3 linked regions of the Ovis aries genome follow. The protein of the gene in region 1 interacts with the protein of each later gene in a biochemical or structural test. Links are inferred from orthologs where the notes say so. Each region holds a gene or a part of one and is shown on either strand. Other genes may lie near its edges.

Evidence for each region. The genes of interacting proteins can lie anywhere in the genome.
Region 2: the proteins of TNKS (region 1) and TNKS1BP1 form a complex in vitro, tested with the Homo sapiens proteins (2 studies listed by BioGRID). The link is inferred for Ovis aries from reciprocal best matches to the Homo sapiens genes TNKS and TNKS1BP1.
Region 3: the proteins of TNKS (region 1) and AXIN1 form a complex in vitro, tested with the Homo sapiens proteins (2 studies listed by BioGRID). The link is inferred for Ovis aries from reciprocal best matches to the Homo sapiens genes TNKS and AXIN1.

Annotation. Positions count from the first base shown.
Region 1 is NC_056079.1:24,652,695-24,657,127, forward strand, and holds the start of TNKS (poly [ADP-ribose] polymerase tankyrase-1), read left to right. Parts: upstream 1-1,380; 5' UTR 1,381-1,408; coding exon 1,409-2,081; intron 2,082-4,433.
Region 2 is NC_056068.1:79,333,150-79,336,945, reverse strand, and holds part of TNKS1BP1 (182 kDa tankyrase-1-binding protein), read left to right. Parts: intron 1-1,594; coding exon 1,595-1,937; intron 1,938-2,113; coding exon 2,114-2,264; intron 2,265-2,363; coding exon 2,364-2,491; intron 2,492-3,098; coding exon 3,099-3,253; intron 3,254-3,409; coding exon 3,410-3,470; 3' UTR 3,471-3,482; intron 3,483-3,796.
Region 3 is NC_056077.1:848,241-852,036, forward strand, and holds part of AXIN1 (axin-1), read right to left. Parts: intron 3,443-3,796; coding exon 3,272-3,442; intron 535-3,271; coding exon 289-534; intron 1-288. UniProt on the Homo sapiens protein: Component of the beta-catenin destruction complex required for regulating CTNNB1 levels through phosphorylation and ubiquitination, and modulating Wnt-signaling.

The sequences.
Region 1 (4,433 bases):
TTCACAGTCCAACTCTTGCATCCATACATGACCACTGGAAAAACCATAGCCTTGACTAGACAGACCTTTGTTGGCAAAGTAATGTTTCTACTTTTAAAGAAGAAGCAGGAAATGGAGACCTTAATGTGATGATCCAAATCATTGATACATTTCTTTTGAAGGTAGACAATAAAAAAAGGAAGGTATAGGCAGAGGAAAGAGAAAGAATTTGCTGAAGAATGGCTTCTGAAGGTGAGTGATGGGTGCAGCAAGCTGGTTTTTTATCTTAGTTGGGGAACGAGAGGGAAGAAGGATGAGAGGAATAGAGAAGGTCAGCTAAAAAGAATTTAAAAGAAAGGAACATGTTTGTAATTATTTCAGTCAAGTTTAAGGTGAGAAATGAAAGCACAGAGATAACAGAATAGAAAAAAACCACATAATTTTAGTAGTTAACATTTATTGAACTATTAATTCTATTTTGCAGAGGGGAACCTAAGACACAGAGGGGTTAAATAGCTTGCCCAAATCTACACAGCTCGTTCTTGGCAGAGCCTGAATTTCAATCCTTGCAATCCGAACTTCTATTTTAAAATGAAGTACTTAACGAAGCACATAAAGTGAGAACTCTCATAGAGAGGTGATATAGAGACCAAGGGATTAACTGGGAGGGGGAGAAGGCCGCATTAAAAAACTTTTTTTTTAACCAGTGGGCTAATTATATGTGTTGTATGTTAGTCGCTCAGTCGTGTCCGACTCTTTGCGACCCCATGGACTGTAGCCCACCAGGCCTCCTCTGTCCATGAGATTCTCCCGGCAAGAATACTGGAGTGGGTTGCCATTCCCTTCTCTAGGGGATCTTTCTGACCCAGGAATCGAACCTGTCTCCTGCACTGCAGGCAGATCTTTACCATCTGAGCCACAAGGGAAGCAGACAGAACACTTTGTATATGCTAGCTCATTTAATTCCACTAACAATTCTGTTCGATAGATACTAGCTCAGTTTTCAGACAGGGGCACTTGACATTTGATAAACGACACATACCTTGCACAGAGTTCCATCTCAATAGCAGGTTCTGCAGCAAGACAAGGAAGACTGAAGGAGACTTGGCAACAGAACGGAACAGGGCAAGGTAAGCAGGTTCAAAATGAGAAATGCAGGAAAAGTTTCTCACTTAAGTCTAGGCTAGTTCGTTTTCAAATCTCTCCCGTCAGCCCGCGAAGGCGTCACAAAGCCCGCCCCTCGGAGGCGAGGCCACGCCCCCTTCCGCGGAGGGGCTCGGAGCTCCCAAGACTTCCCTCCCACCCTTTGACCCCGCCCACTCCTCCCAGCATCATTTCCTGTGCGCTGGGCGCTAATTGGCCCGGCAGTCGGAAGTGAGGGCGGGCGGTGGGGCCGTTGCCGCAGTGACAGAGCTGGGGGAGTCCGAAGATGGCGGCGTCGCGTCGCTCTCAGCATCATCACCACCATCATCAACAACAGCTCCAGCCCGCCCCAGGGGCTTCGGCGCCGCCGCCGCCACCTCCCCCCCCACTCAGCCCGGGCCTGGCCCCTGGGACCACCCCGGCCTCCCCTACGGTGGGCGGCCTGGCTCCGTTCGCCTCCCCGAGGCACGGCCTAGCGCTGCCGGAGGGGGATGGCAGTCGGGATCCGCCCGACAGGCCCCGATCCCCGGACCCGGTTGACAGTGCCAGCTGTTGCAGTCCCACGAGCACAATCTGTACGGTTGCCGCCGCTCCTGTGGTCCCGGCGGTTTCTGCCTCATCTGCCGTCGGGGTCGCTCCCAACCCAGCCGGCGGCGGCAGTAACAATTCACCGTCGTCCTCTTCTTCCCCGACTTCTTCCTCCTCTTCCTCTCCATCCTCCCCCGGATCGAGCTTGGCGGAGAGCCCCGAGGCGGCCGGAGTTAGCACCACAGCACCATTGGGGCCTGGGGCTGCGGGCCCTGGGCCAGGGGTCCCAGCAGTGAGCGGGGCCCTGCGGGAACTGCTGGAGGCCTGTCGCAATGGGGACGTGTCCCGGGTAAAGAGACTGGTGGACGCGGCAAACGTGAATGCTAAGGACATGGCCGGCCGGAAGTCTTCTCCCCTGCACTTCGCTGCAGGTCAGAGACTTTTTGAATTGTTTATTAAGGGTTTTGGTGTTTGGCACTGGGGTCCGGGTAGGGAAAGAAAACGAATTATGATGATGGGAACGATGGGGGCGTGGTGATGATGCCTCAGTACTTCTCGGGAAGCCTTGAGGTTCCTTTTTTTAGGTGGTGCCAGGGTGACGGGGGCGTGGTAGGGGAACGTGTGAGTCCCTTTTTAGTTTGCACAGTGATCCTCGTTCTCATCCCCTGCCTCCCTTAGTGGTCGTCTCAGGACATGGATATACTTAAACTTTTTCAGTTCCGAGTGTGTCGGAATAAAATTAGATCTGAGTAGTGTTAGAGTAGTTTTGTCGTGTGTTGGCTCATTTCCTTTTTACAGGAGTAATGTCGCATGACAAACTAGACCAAGAGAAGTTTAATAAAACTCAACAAGTGTTAAGTAGCTATCGTAACCTTATAATTAATATAAGAGACTTAAATGAAGTTAGTGAAACTTTCTCCCCTTTTGAGGTAGTGTACAGTCCGATTGGGCAGATCAAAATGTTCCTATGTGAAACAACTGGAGAAGAATATTTGGATGCATTATGTGATGGCAGAAGAAAAGGCTTTGAAGTTCTGGCAACTGCTGTCTGTTGCTTGTGTAACAGATAATTTACCTTGTCTCAGTAGCCTCCATCTCCTCATGGGCAAAAATGTATATGGGGATTGTGTGAGGATTTCCTGAGAGGTATCTGGGACCTAAGTTCTCCCGCGAAAATACTTATTCTTAAAACCTGGACCACTGCACACTTTTTTTTTTTTAAAGCAAGTAATTATTATCTTTTAAAAACAGATAGTATGTTTTTATCTAAACTACAGGGAAATTTAAAAAAGGATCATAATCTCATTGCCTAGATACCTCCTATTGACATTAAAAAAATAAAGATGATAAGGTTATATACCTTAGAAATGTTACATTAGAAATGTATATATTGTATGTACATTCATATAGTACAGAAATAAATGAAAAAGCGTCACACATAAACATCAAAGATCATACTCTGAAGATAACTTCTGTTAAGTTTCATGCTTTATTTCTAATATATACCACTCTTTGAGTTTGTTCTGTTAATGTAAAGCATATGTTGAGAACTTAATGTATTGTTTATCAGAACTCGGAAAATATTTTTATCCTCATTTACAGATGACAAAAGTGAAGCGTGTACAGCTTAGATAATCCTAAATTCACATAAGAAGTAGTGGAACCTGAATTTAAACTTAGTTTGATTTTGGAATGTGTGAAGTCCAGGTTAAACAATTATACTTGGTTTAAGATCACTTTTCAATTTGTGGGTAATTTTTATGGAGTTTTCACTTTGGCAGTGTTTGGGGAGAAGAAGTAATTGGGGGCATATATACTCCAAGAGTAGTGTTCACACATTTTTTTTTTTTGCAGCCCATACTTAGCAATAAATTTTATGTTGTAACATGCAGAGTGAATCAAAAGTTTCAGTAAACAGTTCTTTGCCTTGCTACATGTGTTGTACTCTGATATTTTATATCCTAATCCATTTCCTGTCTTGCAAATGCTGTTTGTGATCCCATTAATGAGTCATGGTCAGCAATGTGAGAAATACAGGAAATCATTATTAGATCGCTGGGAATGTGGACGCTACTGTTAGGAAAGATTGAGGGCAGGAGGAGAATGGGGCGACAGAGGGTGAGAGGGTTGGATGGCATCATCGACACAATAGACTTGAGTTTGAGCAGACTCCAGGAAATAGTGAAGGACAAGGAAGCCTGACATGCTGCAGTCTATAGGGTCGCAAAGAGTCAGACATGGCTTAGCAGCTGAACAACAACTATTAGGAATGTAGTGAATTGAATCAAAATCAGGCTCCCATTTAAGTAGACAGATGCTCACAAGTGTTGCTTACTTTAGATGAAATAATTTCTTTTTTTTAGGCAGGATGAAAGATCTGTAATAAATAAAGCAAGACTGCCTTTGTAAACTTTGTTCCAAATTTGACTATTATAACATGTTGTTTCACAAATCTTGTCATTTTTCATCATACTGCATTGTAAGTAATCACTTGCAGATATTACATTAATTTTTGTAATATTTAGAATTAGTTGCACACAAAATAGTGCTTATCTCCCAAGTCACATCTTCTTTTTGCCGCAGTAGTTATTTTTTGTTCTGTTTTAGAGTTTTTTGTGTACCCAGCTAAGCTAAAAGACAACCAGTGAAACAGTCCTGTAATTATGTTGTAGTTATGAGACCCTAATCTTGAAGTGGCTTATTTAGGGAAAAAAAATAATCTGTTTTAGTTCCGTGTGGAAAAGGGAACAAAAACAGTGAAACTCTCTATGGTTTAAAAGCAT
Region 2 (3,796 bases), on another chromosome or scaffold:
GTGTGGCTCTGCGGTGCTTGTGCATGTGTGTGTACAGTGTGTGTCTGTGTGTGTGTCTCGGGTGTGGCTCTGCGGTGCTGTGCATGTGTGTGTCCTGTGTGTGTGTGTGTCTTGGGTGTGGCTCTGCGGTGTGTGTGTGTGTACAGTGTGTGTCTCGGGTGTGGCTCTGCGGTGCTGTGCATGTGTGTGTCTGTGTGTGTCTCGGGTGTGCCTCTGCGGTGCTTCTGTGTGTGTGTGTGCAGTGTGTGTGTGTGTGTCTCGGGTGTGGCTCTGTGGTGCTGTGCGTGTGTGTGTGTGTGTGTGTCTCGGGTGTGGCTCTGCGGTGCTTGTGTGTGTGTGTACAGTGTGTGTCTGTGTGTGTGTCTCGGGTGTGGCTCTGTGGTGCTGTGCGTGTGTGTGTGTGTGTGTGTCTCGGGTGTGGCTCTGTGGTGCTGTGCGTGTGTGTGTGTGTGTCTTGGGTGTGGCTCTGCGGTGCTTGTGCATGTGTGTGTCCCGTGTGTGTGTGTGTGTGTCTCGGGTGTGGCTCTGCGGTGCTGTGCATGTGTGTGTACAGTGTGTGTGCGTGTCTCTGTGTTGGGTGTGGCTCTGTGGCGCTTGTGTCAGTGTGTGGAAGGAGTGACCGGTGATCTGTGCCCACTTCCCCACAGGAGACGGGCCGTGAGTGTGTGCATGTGTGTCTGTCTTGGGGGCAAGCAGGCAGCTGGGCCACACACAGGCTCCCGGGTGCAGAGCGTGAGCCGCAGAGCGCGCTGTGCATGCCGGATGGTATGGGTCGTGTCTCGAGGGTGCAGCGGGCAGGAGACGCAGCTTGGGCCCAAAGGTGGCGTCCCTGCCTCCAGGCAGACCTCAGCTCTGTCCCAGGCCCTGGGCCACGCGGGGACGCAGGCGGCTGCGTCCTCGAGTTGCTGGCCGACGGGCCGTGGGGATAGAGCACCTGGACTTGAGGCGGGGCTGGCAGCTCGTGCCCAGGGTGTGCTGGGCGAGGGGCGGGCCCGGGGGCTCCCCAGGGGGGATCCAGGCTGACTGAGGGCGCGGGGGCACCTGCCGGGCAGAAGCAGCTTGTCAAGCGCCATCGGGTACGCGGCGGTCCGCGAGGGCCGTGTGTGTAGAGGCGTGCAGGGACGGTGAGCTGGAGGGCGGGGGTGGGGCTCGGCAGGCGGTCCGCAGCCCGGGAGGGCCAGCGTCCACAGCGTTGGCAGCGGTCGGATCCCTTTGGTGGGCATGCCCCCCCGCGCGGCTCTGTGCGAGGTGTTAGTCTCAATCCACGCTTGCAGAGACTCTCCTTAGAAGACTCTAAGGCTCTTGGGGTCCCCTGTGCGCAGCTCTGTGCGAGGTGTTCAGAGCCTCACTCTGTGCCCCCGGTGACCCTGTAGTTAGCAGACCCCTTGGGGGTGAAGGGACTCCCCCATCGTCTCAGGAAGCGGGGAGCCTGGCGTTTGAACACGCCGGGCTGGCCCAGCTTGCTCCCTGTGTACAGTCCGGAGGGAGGCATGGATGGCCTGCAGGGAAACAGGCTGAGAAAGGCTCTCTGCGCGGGGGGCTTTGGGCGAGCCCGCAGCCTCGCATGACCTCGGCCTCTGCTCTGTCCCCGCAGCCCTGGTGATTACCTGGCCCGCTCCCCACCCAGGGGCTCCCAAGGCCAGCCAGGGGAGAGGCTGGCTGCCCACAGCCCCGAGGCCCTGGCCCTGCAGGAGTTGGCATCCCCGGGGCCCAGGACCCTGTCGGAGGAGGAAGGGGCCGCAGCAGGTGCGGACCGAGTGGAGCCCTGGGAGCCCGGCCGGGACCCCCTGCCTTCCTGGAGGCTGCAGCCGGATGGGGAGGCCAGCTGGACAGACGCGGTCGACAGCACCCAGGATGCCGCAGGGGCCAGGCAGGGCGAGCAGACCCCCCAGGGCCTGCCGGCCAGTACCCCCAGCCAGGATTTCTCCTTCATCGAGGTCAGTGGGTGGGCTGTTGTCAGGATGCAGGTGGAAGGGGTGTATAGGTGCTGCAGCTTGGGTCTCACCTCGGGACCTCCCTCTTGGTGGGGTGGTCTCAGCCTGGGGGGTGGGAAGCTGGGACAGGGCGGCTGCGCGAAGGTGATGGCAGTGGTGTGTACCCCCAACCCCTGCAGGACACCGAGATCCTCGACAGCGCCATGTACCGGAGCCGTGCCAACCTGGGGCGCAAGCGTGGGCACCGTGCCCCGGCCATCCGGCCCGGGGGCACGCTGGGCCTGTCGGAGGCTGCAGCGTCGGACGCGAGGCTGTTCCAAGACTCCACAGGTAGGGCCAGGCTGTCCTGACGACCTTCATGTCGCTGTCCCGTGGGCGGGGGGTCTGGGGTCGCCGCCCCGTACTGAGACCCTGCCTGGGTCCTTGCAGAGCCACGGGCTTCGCAGGCGCCGTCCTCGGACGAGGAGGTGGTCGAGGAGCCTCAGAACCGCAGGACACGGGTGACCAAGGGCCTGAAAGTCAGCCTGTTTCCTGGCCTGAGCCCATCGGCCCTGAAGGTACCCTCTGGCTGTGCCGCCCTCTGGTGTCCAGCCTGCCCTCTGTCTGTCTGTCTGTTCGTCTAAGCTCCGAAACCCTGTCCGTTCTCTGCGCCTGCTGTGCCCGTGGTGGGCGCGAGGCGGGATGGAGAGAAGAACACGAAGGGTCTGGGTCCCAGAACCCCACGGGCTGGCAGGGCGACCGCGGTACAGCGGGGTGGAGGTTTAGGCGTCCTGGGGGTGCGGGGCTGGGGCAGGCTGCTCAGAGGGAGGTGGGAAGCGGGGTGCGGGACTCGGGGAGACCTCCGGTGACCGTAGTGTGTGTGGTGGGGAGATGTTGCAGGCAGAGGGCACAGGGCGTGCAGACCCCGGGGGCGTCCCCGCTGGCTCCGTCCAGGCCGCTTGGGCTGGATTCAGGTCAGCAGTGTCTCCCCGAGGGCCTGCGGGGTGCCAGGCACAGCCCGCCCTCGGGGGAGGTCATCGCTAAGCGACTTCCCCTCCCCAGGGTAAGAGGGCTGTGGAGGGCGTTGGGGTCTGGGCCGGGGACCCTGCGCTCTGGGGAGAAGGCCTGGCCCTCTCTGCCGTCACCGGCCCCGCTGACGTCCATCCGCTCCCGGCTTCCTCTCAGGCCAAGCTGCGCTCGCGGAACCGCTCGGCTGACGAGGGGGAGCCCTCAGAGGGCAAGGCGGGCCAGAAGGAGCTGATGCAGCGCTCCAAGTCCTGCAAGGGCCCCGGGCTGGGCAAGCCCCACGCGCTCCCACCCAAGCCAGACAAGTCCTCAGGGTAGGTGATCTGCGTGCCGGGAACTACCCATCTCAGTCTTAAGAGGAAAACCCTGCTTTACAGGGAGACTTGGGGGGGGGGGGGTGTCGTGCCACAGGTCGGCACTCTTCGCTTGGTGCCAGGGTGCTGGTCTGACTTCTGCCCCCTGCCTTCTAGGTCCGAAGGATCATCGCCCAACTGGCTGCAAGCCCTGAAGTTGAAAAAGAAGAAGGTCTAAGAAGTCGTTGAGGTGCGGGCAGGAGCTGGGCTTGACCTGTCTGGGGCTGGGGGCTGGTTCAGGGCTGCTGGGGGCCCTGCCCCGAGGCCTCCGGAGGCCCCAGACCTGCTTTTATGGCCCTCCTCTGCAAGGCTGGAGGAGGGATAGGCTACCCACTGCAGTATTCTTGGGCTTCCCTGGTGGCTCAGCTGGTAAAGAGTTGCCTGCAATTGGGAGACTTGGGTTCCATTCCTGGGTTGGGAAGACCCCCCTGGAGAAGGAAATGGTTACCCACTCCAGTATTCTTGCCTGGAGAACCCCATGGACAGAGGAGCCTGGCGGGTTGC
Region 3 (3,796 bases), on another chromosome or scaffold:
CCCGGGAAAGTGACCGCAAAGGCCCCGGGGCCAGGGTCCAGCGTGGAGGGACGGCCTGCCCCACGAAGGGCCGCACCAGCCCTGACAGCCACACAGGGCGCCGCGAGGAGGGCCGCGGGGCTGGGCTCTCAGCACCGAGAGCGAGGCGCCAGGGCTCCCCCGCGTGGCTGGGAACACCAGGCCCCTTCGCAGACGCGGTGGGCCGCACCGGCACCCTGAGCGCAGCCGCAGGCCAGCCAAGGCGCAGAAGGGCTCCCGCCCCGGACGGATGCTGCGAGGACCACGCACCTCTGCTTCGAGGGCGCCTTGCTGGCCCTCTTCTCCTCCTCCTCCAGGCGCCGGCGTGCCTCCTCCAGCTGCGTCAGGGGGTTGGGGGCGGGGTTGGGCGGCATCGTGGGGTCTTGAATGAAGAGATGCGATGGCTGCACCGAACTCCGGAGCTGGGCGCTGACCCAGGGGTGCACGGCCCCGGGGCGCTCAATGGACAGGGGCCTGGAGCTCTCGTGGGCCTGCTGCTTCTTAGCCCCGGACGACCTTCGGGGGCAAGAGAAGCAGGTGAGCCGCGCCCAGGCCCTGCACAACCCCTACCCCTGATGCACAGCCTTTCTGGAGACCTGCTCTGCACCGTGCTCATCGCTTTCTGAAATGTAAACCATACCCTATGTGGACATTTTCTTAATGTTTCCCCACGAAGTGTTCTTTTACATAAAGATTTTTTGTTTTTGAAAAGTATTTTGATATTAGAATAAGTGTTCTTGGGACCTCCTGGAGGTCGGATGGCTAAGACTCCCAGCCCCCAATGCAGGGGCCTGGGTTTGATCCCTCGTCAGAGAACTTGCTCTCACATGCCCCAACCAAGACCCAGGGCAGCCAAACAAACAAAAGCTTAACTTTCATCATTCCTTTAAAAATACAAATAAATAAGTTTTCTTTTTGTGAAAAACTTGAAACGTTCATGAAATTCTAAGAAAAAAATAAACATGATTCAGCGACAGCCACTCAGTGCGTTCCGCGCGCTTCCTTCCCCACTGAGAGCACCTGCCACGGTTGGCAGAATTCTGATCACGCGCTGTTTCCTGCCTTTCCTCCACATGATGCCACCGTCCCCGCCATCAGACACCAAGAGCCTTTACGTCTGCGTGACCTGCCATCACTCAACCACTGCATGGAATTCGAGTGGAAACACTGCCTCTCTCAGCTGGACTAGAGGCTTCAGAAGGGGGGCGTGTCCCCAGGAGCAAAATGAGGGAATCCCAGGAATGGCACCCCGGGGGAGAGGGCTGACTCAGCGCCAGTGTGATGTGACCTGCCCCATGGGGAGGTGGACTCCTCCTAGGACCCATGAGGCCCCCACCTCCTCACTCCCTGCTCTGTGCCCTGCCCCCAGGTCCATAGACCCCAGAAAGGCCTGCACGATGGAGCCCACAGCGCACCCAGGACACTGCTTCCGGGCTCATCTTCCCACAGAAACCCTCCAGCTGCGGGGGGGCCAACGGCCAAGCAGCGAGCCACCGGGACAGGGTTTGTGAGTGTGGAGGGTCTGGACCCAAGAGCGCAGGACCAGGGAGCCCACGCCTGGCCCCGAAGCCCAGGCTCCTGCCCGTCCCGCCCCACCACGGACAGGACGGGGACACTGAAGCTGACACGGAGCGGGGGCCCGGGGCAGAGGCATGTTCTCTGGCAGCTGGGGTCAAGGAGGCCAGCTCAGAGGCTCCTCCTGGAGCGGCAGCCACAGGGCTGTAGGATCCTGCCCAGTGGGGCTGCAGCAGCTGACCCCACCAGTGGGCATTCCTGCCCGGGACACTGACGTTGTCACCAATGCCCACCCCGTCACAGGGCCCACACACGAAGGGTTGACCTCACGCTGCCATGGGCTGGCCCTGGTCCCACGGGCACATGGCCTGCACAAATTGCTGCCTGGCGCTGATAGCAGGCTCTAGAGCTGGCAGGGACTCAGAGCCGGGGGGAGGGGGACTCAGAGCCGGGGGGAGGGGGACTCAGAGCCGGGGGGAGGGGGACTCAGAGCCAGGGGGAGGGGGATTCAGAGCCAGGGGGAGGGGGACTCAGAGCCGGGGGGGGGGGGATTCAGAGCCAGGGTGGGAGGACTCAGAGCTAGAGGTGGGGAACAGAGTTGGGGGGACAGGGACTCAAGAGCCGGTGGGGAGGAGAACTCGGGGGTGGGGGGGACTCAGAGCTCGGGGGGAGGACTCAGAGCTGGGGTGGGGGGACTCAGAGCTGGGGGGTGAGGGACTCAGAGCCGGGGGCGAAAGGAATCAGAGCCAGGGGTGGGGGGACTCAGAACTGGGGGGCTGGGGGACTCAGAGCCGGGGTGAGGGGAGGACTCAGAGCCGGGGTGAGGGGAGGACTCAGAGCCAGGGGGTAGGACTCAGAGCTGAGGGTGGGAGGATTCAGAGCCAGGGGGAAGGGGGCTCAGAGCCATGGGGGAGGGGAGGACTCAGAGCTGGGGGTGGGGGACTCAGAGCCCAGGACGGGGAGGACTCAGAGCCAGGGCGAGGGGAGGACTCAGAGCCAGGGGGGAGGGGAGGACTCGGAGCTGGGACTGGGGGACTCGGAGCCAGGGGTGGGGGACTCGGCCAGGGGAGGACTCGGCTGGGGGTGGGGGACTCGGCCGGGGGAGGCCTCGGCTGGGGGTGGGGGACTCGGCCGGGGGAGGACTCGGAGCCGGGGGTGGGGGACTCAGAGCCACGGGGGAGGGGAGGACTCAGAGCTGGGACTGGGGGACTCGGAGCCGGGGGTGGGGGACTCAGCCGGGGGAGGGCTTGGAGCTGGGACTGGGGGACTCGGAGCCAGGGGTGGGGGACTCGGCCGGGGGGGGGAGGGGAGGACTCAGAGCTGGGACTGGGGGACTCGGCCGGGGTGGGGGAGGCTCGGCCAGGGAAGGGCTCGGAGCTGGGATTGGGGGACTCGGAGCCGGGGTGGGGGAGGCTCGGCCAGGGAAGGGCTCGGAGCTGGGACTGGGGGACTCGGCCGGGGTGGGGGACTCGGCCGGGGGAGGGCTCGGCTGGGGTGGGGGACTCGGCCGGGGGAGGGCTTGGAGCTGGGATTGGGGGGCTCAGCTGGGGTGGAGGACTCAGAACTGGGACTGGGGGACTCGGCCGGGGGAGGGGGACTCGGAGCCGGGACTGGGGGACTCGGCCGGGGGAGGGGGACTCGGAGCCGGGACTGGGGGACTCGGCCGGGGGAGGGGGACTCGGAGCCGGGACTGGGGGACTCGGCGCTGGGGTGGGGGAGGCCCGGCCGGGGCCCTCACCCGTGGCCCGCCTTCCGGTGCCGGCTGATCTCCTTCTCGCCCTCGATGATCCACTGCAGGATCTTCTGGTTCTTCTCCGCGTCCTCAGCCGGGCCTGGCGCCTCTGTGCTGCTGCTCTTGCCCAGCTCCGCCTTCTTGGAGTTTCTCTTGGAGGTCGTGCCCGCCTTCCCGCTGCAAGAGCAAGGCCTGGTCACTTGCTACTTCAGCCGGCCCAGGCTGGACAGCTGGCCAGGACCCTCGGGGCTGGGGAGAACAGCCTGCAAGGGCCCTGCCTGCGCATGGGGCCTTGGCCACACTCTTGCAGGCACGGCTGGGCCGTTTCAGGCCTACTCTGTGGACAGAAGGCGTCCAGGCAGCTCGGGCCCAGCCACCCGTCCTCACCCAGACACCAGCCCCGAAACGGGCCCATCCAACCCGACGGTGCTTCAGGGCTGGAGCCCCGCGGCCGTGCACCCAGGCGCGCACTCCTGCCAACCCGCGCTGGCCCTGGCTTAGGGACTCCTCAGGGAAACTCTGGCCTGAGGG